2 linked regions of the Macaca fascicularis genome follow. The protein of the gene in region 1 binds, or shares a complex with, the protein of each later gene. Links are inferred from orthologs where the notes say so. Each region holds a gene or a part of one and is shown in the gene's direction. Other genes may lie near its edges. The genes, in order: IFFO1 and XRCC4.

What was found.
Region 2: the proteins of IFFO1 (region 1) and XRCC4 are in contact, whole or in part, in a crystal structure (PDB 6ABO), measured with the Homo sapiens proteins. The link is inferred for Macaca fascicularis from reciprocal best matches to the Homo sapiens genes IFFO1 and XRCC4. Residues at the interface, in NP_001317253.1 of Homo sapiens: Arg469, Glu470, Tyr473, Ile477, Gln479, Ile480, Glu481, Glu483, Leu484, Ala487, Lys488, Asp490, Met491, Arg493, His494, Leu495, Tyr498, Met501, Lys505, Leu508, Asp509, Met512, Cys515, Arg516, Leu518, Ile519, Thr520, Gln521; in NP_001304941.1 of Homo sapiens: Trp155, Val158, Gln159, Phe162, Glu163, Cys165, Val166, Lys169, Glu170, Glu173, Leu176, Tyr177, Phe180, Val183, Leu184, Lys187, Lys188, Lys190, Ile191, Leu194, His195, Lys197, Leu198, Ala201, Ala202, Arg205, Glu212.

Annotation. Positions count from the first base shown.
Region 1 is NC_088385.1:7,467,754-7,471,571, reverse strand, and holds part of IFFO1 (non-homologous end joining factor IFFO1), read left to right. Parts: exon of another isoform or gene 1-394; coding exon of another isoform or gene 395-418; coding exon 419-576; intron 577-698; coding exon 699-819; intron 820-1,084; coding exon 1,085-1,180; intron 1,181-3,818. UniProt on the Homo sapiens protein: Nuclear matrix protein involved in the immobilization of broken DNA ends and the suppression of chromosome translocation during DNA double-strand breaks (DSBs).
Region 2 is NC_088380.1:87,285,517-87,289,334, forward strand, and holds the end of XRCC4 (DNA repair protein XRCC4), read left to right. Parts: intron 1-2,590; coding exon 2,591-2,702; 3' UTR 2,703-3,215; downstream 3,216-3,818.

The DNA of each region.
Region 1 (3,818 bases):
CACATTGCACCCTCATCCTCCTTGCAACCTAAAGCTTTTTTTTTAGTTGAGTCATTTAATCAGAAAGACTTTTTGTAGAAAATAAATTTCCTCTTGAGCCATCATGCACATCTGACTGCGGCCCCAGCGAGCCCTTCCTCCCTTGTCTGACTCTCTCTTTCTCGATTTCTTCTTGTTCTGCCTTCTCAGTCTGCAGCCCTGGCCTCTGCTGTGTGTCTGTGTGCCTGGCCCTTGGTGACTGTCCGTGTTTCTGTTCCTGTCATTGTAACTGTGACTTTTCTCTCTGTCTGCCCCACCCTTCCTGCTGGTTCACGCTTCTCCCCCATTCCCGCCCTCTCTGCCCGGCCTCCCGCTCCCGCCCTTTCTCCTCATGCACCCGGCCTCGTCTCTGTAGTCTCTGCACTTGTCTCCCATTAAGGTCCCATCCATGGGGGGGCGGAAGCGGGAGCGCAAGGCTGCCGTCGAGGAGGACACCTCCCTGTCGGAGAGTGAGGGGCCCCGCCAGCCCGATGGGGATGAGGAGGAGAGCACAGCCCTCAGCATCAACGAGGAGATGCAGCGCATGCTCAACCAGCTGTGAGTCCGCAGGCCGTGCTCCCGTAGCACCGATGCCACAGCAGCCCAGGAGGCCGGAGCTCCCCAGTCCCCCGCCAGGACGAGGCCCCGCCCGCCCTGACACCCGGGTTCCCTGTCTCTAGGAGGGAGTATGATTTTGAGGACGACTGTGACAGCCTGACTTGGGAGGAGACTGAGGAGACCCTGCTGCTTTGGGAGGATTTCTCAGGCTATGCCATGGCAGCTGCAGAGGCCCAGGGAGAGGTAACCTCTGCTCCCGGCCTCAGGGCCCTCTGGCTCTGCCTCTCCAGCCTGACGCCCACCCCCCCGCTCCTCTCCTCGCTCTGTCCCCCCATGTGGCTGTCATCCTCTACCTGCGTCTCCCCTCTTCCTTTATCCTTTTGCTTTTCTTTCTCCAGTTTCTTTAACCGGACTTCCTCTCTCTCTCTCTCTCCCTGACTTGGCCCTTGGAATGCGCCCTATCCCATCCCTCCCTGGCTGGCCTCCCCTGCTTCCCTTTCTACTCCAGCAGCAGGAAGATAGCCTGGAGAAGGTGATTAAAGATACGGAGTCCCTGTTCAAAACCCGGGAGAAGGAGTATCAGGAGACCATTGACCAGATAGAGGTAAGGGCAGGAGCGGAAGCCAGGGGCACAGTGTCCCAGAGGGTTTTGAGTGGGGCTGCAGGTGCAGTGGCCTCATCCCTCCTGCAGGACCCTAGAGACCAAGGTCTTGGGAGGAGGAGTGATCTCTCAGCTATAGTCCTTCTGGTGGGCTCTGAAGACCTCAGGCTCTAGAAGCAGAGAGATGTTGGTTCAAATCTCAGCTCTGTTACTTACAACCACTCTGAACGTGTAACAAGTTACTTGTTCCCTCTGAGCCCCTTCCTTCCTCCCTCCCTCCCTCCCTCCCTCCCTCCCTCTCTTCCTTCCTCCCTTCCTCCCTTCCCCCGTTTTTCTCTCTCTCTCTCTCTTCCCCTCTCTCCCTCTCTCCCTCCCTCCCTCTCTTGTCTTTCTGTCCTTTCTTTTTTGAGACAAGGTCTCACTCTGTTTCACTCTGTTGCCTAGGCTGGAGTGATCCTCCCACCCCAGCCTTCTGGGTAGCTGGGACCACAGGTGTGCGCCACCACACCCAGCTAATTTTTATTTTTTATTTTTTGTAGAGATGGGGTCTCCCTGTGTTTCCCAGGCAGGTCTTAAACTCTTGGGCTCAAGTGATCCTCCTGCCTCGGCCTCCCAAAGTGCTAGAATTAAAGGCACGAGCCATGTGTCCTGTCCTGTACCTGTTTCTATTTATTTATTTATTTATTTATTTATTTTTATTTTATTTTATTTTTTTTTTTTTGAGACAGGGTCTTGCTCTGTCACTCCAGGCTCACTGCAGCCTTGATCTTCTGGATCCAAGCAATCCTTCTACCTCAGCCTCCCAAGTAGCTGGGACCACAGGCGTGTGCTACCACGCCCGGCTAATTTTTTGATTTTTTACAGAGACAGGGTCTCACTATGCTTTCCAGGCTGGCCTCAAACTTCTGGGTCCAAGCAGTCCTCCTAACTCGGCCTCCCAAAGTGTTGGGATTACAGGCATGAGCCACTGCGCCTGGCCTTTTTATTTGTAAAATGAGGAATTTAATAGTACCTCATCTATAGGGTTGTTTAGAAGAGCGGATGAAATAATGCACATATGGAGCTTAGGGCAGTGTCTGGCTCATAGCGAGTGTAGCATAGTGGGGACCATTTTATTATTATTAACACTATCAGTGCCATAGCACTGAGACGGACCGGGACTTTTCTGTTTCTTCCACTCAGCCGTTGAGATAACAGAAGTCTCCATGCTTTTTCCCAAGCCTTGAAGTACCTTCTAGAGGTACCTAGAGGCAAGTGGAGCTGGTGCTTTAACTCAAACTCTAGGCTTTAGGACCTGCAAGAAGGATTTGTGGAGGCCGGGCACGGTGGCTCACGCCTGTAATCGCAGCACTTTGGGAGGCCAAGGTGGGCGGATCACGAGGTCAGGAGATCGAGACCATCCTGGCTAACACGGTGAAATCCTGTCTCTACGAAAAATACAAAAAAAATTAGCCGGGCGTGGTGGCGGACACCTGTAGCCCCAGCTACTCGCTACTCGGGAGGCTGAGGCAGGAGAATGACATGAACCCGGGAGGCAGAGTTTGCAGTGAGCCGAGATTGTGCCACTGCTCTCCAGCTGGGTGACAGAGCGAGACTCTGTCTCAAAAAAAAGAAAAAAAAAAAGGAAGGATTTGTGGAACCACAGAATGGAGGTTGCTGTGGGAGGAGGGATGGACGGGACCCCTGTGAGCTCTCCTGGCCTGGTGAGATGGTCCTTTCCCGACGCTCTGACTTGAGGAGAGGCATGGAGCCTTCTCTGACTCTCAGCCTCTCTTCAAGCCCATGTGGGAGATTCATACAGTAGTGCCCTCTTACCTGCAGGGCATGTGTTCCAGGACCCACAGTGGATGCCTGAAACCAAAGATAGCACTGACCCCCTGATAGCTTGGGTCCAGGTGCCATCAACCGGAACGTGTTTCTGTTCATGTCTTCCACCCACACATTCAATGCTTTTTCTCTCTTAACTAAGACTTAGCATGCGGTGTGGCAGTACCTTTTGCAGTTCGAGGTGTGACAGCAAAACTGGCACAAACTTCTTTTTCCTTCTTTACAATTTAACGGATAGAAGATTCTTACTATAGACCTTAGTAACCTCAGTATCGGATTCTTTTTCTTATTAAGTTGAAAACTTTTACCTTTTCACTTAAAGGGAGCACATTTTGGCTTCTCTTTGGCATATCCAAATTGCCAGCATCACTACTCTTGTGCTTTGGGGCCATTATGAAGTAAAAGTAAGGGTTCCTTGAACACAGGCCCTGCGATACCATGACAGTCAATCTGATCACTGAGATGGCTACCAAGTAACTAATGGGCAGGCAGTGCAGACAGTGTGGATCCTTGGGACAGAGGGAGGGTTCATGTCCCGGTCTGGATAGAGTGAGATTTTTTTTTTTCCCCCAAGATGGAGTCTCGCTCTGTGTCGCCCAGGCTGGAGTGCAGTGGCGCGATCTCGGCTCACTGCAAGCTCCACCTCCCGAGTTCACCCCATTCTCCTGCCTCAGCCTTCCGAGTAGCTGGGTCTACAGGCGCCCGTCACCACGCCCGGCTAATTTTTTTTGTATTTTTCGTAGAGATGGGGTTTCACAGTGTTAGCCAGAATGGTCTGGATCTCCTGACCTCATGATCCGCCCACCTTGGCCTC
Region 2 (3,818 bases), on another chromosome or scaffold:
TTTGTTGGCTGCTTGTGTGTCTTCTTTTGAGAAGCGTCTGTTCGTGTCCTTTGCCCATTTATTAATGGGTCGATTTGCTTTTTGCTTGTTGATTTAAGTTCCATATAGATTCTGGATATTTGACCTTTGACAGATGCATATTTTGAGAATATTTTCTCCTATTCTGTAGGCTATTTACTTTGTTGATAGTTTCTTTTGCTGTATAGAAACTCTTCAGTTTAATTAGGTCCTGCTTGTCAATTTTTGTTTTTGTTGCAATTGTTTTTGGGGACTTAGCCAAAAATTCTTTGCCAATGCCAATGTTGAGAAGGATATTTCCTAGGTTTTCTTCTAAGTTTTTTATAGTTTGAAATCTTACATTTAAATTTTTAATCCATCTCGAGTTAATGTTTGTATATGTTGAAAGGTAGGGCGATATGGTTTGGACTTGTGTCCCCACCCAAATCATGTGTCTAATTGTAATTCTCAATCTTGAAGAAGGGGCCTGGTGGGAGGTGATTGGATCCTGGAGACAGATTCCCCCCTTGCCATTCTCATGATAGTGAGTGAGTTCTCATGAGATCTGGTTGTTTAAAAGTTTGTGGCATCTTCCCCCCGGCTTCCTCCTTCTCCAGCCGTGTAAGACGGGCCTGCTTCCCTTTCACCTTCTACCATGAGGCTTCTCAGCCATGTTTCCTGTACAGCCTGTGGAACTGTGGCCAATTAAACCTCTTTTCTTTATAAATTACTCAGTCTCAGGTAGTTCTTTATAGGAATACAAGAATGGACTAATACATAGGGGCACACTTTCAATCTTCTGCAAATGGCTAGCCACTTTGCCGTGCACCATTTATTGTATCTGCCTTGCTTGTTTTTCCATTTCTTACTTTTAATTGAGATAGTTCAGTTATCTCTTTTGCCTAGGAGGAGTACAAGCAACTCTAAGACATTTGGCCAGAGAAAAGTGTTTAATGTGTTTTGAGTTGACAAAGAAAACGTATACCTGTAATAATTATACTTTTATCCCATACTGTATCATTTTCTCCTCCTTTGGAATATATTTTTAGATATTTAATTACATGTTACAATAATTATGCCTGTATTTATTGTTAATTTTAACATTGCAAATCCCAGAGGGTAGTACTTGTCATCTTGAATGCATTAATGCCTAGCACCTTGGCACTCCTGTGATGATAATATTGTCTGAAATTGGCTTGCTCAGAATAAGACAGAACATGTCCCAGGTCTAGTGGCAGCCAACCATAGTTAATTGTCTCTAATCATGATGCCAAGGAGAACTCGTTTCTAATAATCTGTGCAACCAGGTAAGGGTGCAAGCTTTTGAAAATACTCATCATCTAAACATACTTGATATGTGGGGGTTTTCAATAGTTATTCTTCTCTGCTGTTAACGGAAACTCGTATGTAGTTTATGCAGTATTAGCAGATAATAATAATAGTTTCCAAATATTTTGTGGGAATTTATAAGCATTTTCATTTACATCAACTCATTTCATCTTTAGACCACCTCTAGAAAAGTACTAATATCTCAGTTTTACAGTGGAGAGAATAGAAGCCCAGTTAGTTTAAATGACTTGCCTAAAGTTACATAGCTAATATGAAATAGACCTGGGTTCAAACTTGTTTTTCCCGACTTCAAGTTCCATGCTTTCTCAGCTATACCAAGGTGCTGTAACTCCACCATGGCCTTCAAAGTTGGAAATAGAGGGCTATTACCAAGTGTTACTGGGTTAGCTCAACCTAATCATAATCACCCCGGAAGCCACCTCTAATTGATAAAATTAAGCATACTTTATTTAGGTTCCACAGAGAACCACTGACAAGGTTTCTACAAGGATATTAACAGACATTCCAAAGCTTTACTTCTGATTGAGCTCTGTTATTCTCCAGCACAGTCTTTCTAAGACCAATTAATAGTGATCATGGCAGTCAGCCTGTTATCTTAGGGTTCAAAGAAAATATCTACATAAGTATAGCACTCAATCCATTGAAATAGTGACTACAATACGAACCTGAGTAAAATTTAGTTCACTAAATGAAGATATGCAGATTCGATAAATGAATATGGGCCAACATTTCATCAACAACTGCTATAAATGTGAAAAATCATTATTTTTCATATATACACATAGTCATCCGACCCACTAAAGGTAGTTCATGGGACCAAAACTTTCTGCTGCTAAGAGATTAAAATGCACGTTAATCAGTAGAATTTAAGAAAGCCAGAGTAAAATGTAAATTGTGATGAAATCATTAAAGGAGTAACTTGAAAAACCTTCTATATCCTGGCATAAAAGTGATTATAGCATAGAGGATAGAATATTTTATTTCTTGACCTCAATTATGAGTATTGTTATAGGTTTTTGAATTTTCCTGGGGTCAGAATAGAGACAGATTAATTCTAAAGCAGTTAGAGAAATTAGTCTCTTCATCTCTTTCCTTACAGTTAACAGCATAGAGAAGTAAATCTCGAAACCAATTTTGAAACAGGATTTGACTGTCATTTCACTTATGTGTCTCTTCATTTTCTTTTACTCTATAACAGAAGTTTTTAAAAATAAAACTATTTTGATTTTCTTTTCAACTCTAGGCCTGATTCTTCACTACCTGAGACATCGAAAAAGGAGCACATCTCAGCTGAAAACATGTCTTTAGAAACTCTGAGAAACAGCAGCCCAGAAGACCTCTTTGATGAGATTTAACAGTCTCAAAAAACACTTTGATGTTCACTAGACTATGTTTTCTATTCATTTCTTTAAAATGAAAAGGCAGAATTTCAAGTTAGCAGCTATTACTGTACCTTACAATTTAATTACATACACACTGAATTGAAACCATTGTGCAAAATGAATTACACATGTATACGAAGATAGTATTTGATGATGACACTGGCACATTATTCTAAACTATTCATTCAGCATGCCTATAATTACCTAAAATTTCAGACTTCTTGTTGCAAAGGCCACATTTATCATATTCATTCACACATATTATATGTGATAGCTATCTAACATCCTGTCTAGGAAGATTTTGAAAATAGGACAAAGAAAACATCCTTTTAAAATGTCTTCAGCCTTTTTTGAATAGACATATTAAAACATATTCTGAACACTGATGTTTGAGCATTTTAATTTGTGTAATGATGTATAAAATATAATTTTAGTTTGTACATAAACATTCTGAAAATCTGATAATAAAATTTTTGATACATTCAAGGTTTTGTGTTCTTAATAAAATGTGTTAAGTTAATTTTTATTATAGTAAGTAACGGGTTTTTAGAAACTGCTCATTAATGTAAATGTAACCCCCTTTGTGGCAAAAAAAAAAAAAGCATATTTTTCAGGGATTATTGATAAAAGATTTATCTTACACATACACGGGCCCTTCTTGAAGACAAGGACCTTGTCATAGCTCTTTGCAATAACATCCGGCACTATTGTCTTTGTAATCACTGTTTCTGCTTCTTAACCTTTCATTCTATCTTCACTTCTTACCTGTTTAATATCCATTCCTTCCATGTTATTCAAAGTTAACAATATCAGAGTTAGCCATGACCACCATGTTGCTAAATCCAGTGATTGGCCCATTCTTAGTCCTCATGTTATTAAGCCTGTCAGCACATTTTATATAGTTGATTGCTTCTCCCCAGTAAACATTTTCTTCACTTGACTTTTGCTATAGCATATGCTCTTTGTATTCCTCTTTCTTTCCAGTCACTAATTTTTTAGACCTTTTGGCTGATTCCTTCTCCTTTGCCCAACAGTTAAATGTTTGAATGCCCTGGGTTTAATTTTCAGCCCTCTTCTCTTCATTACCTA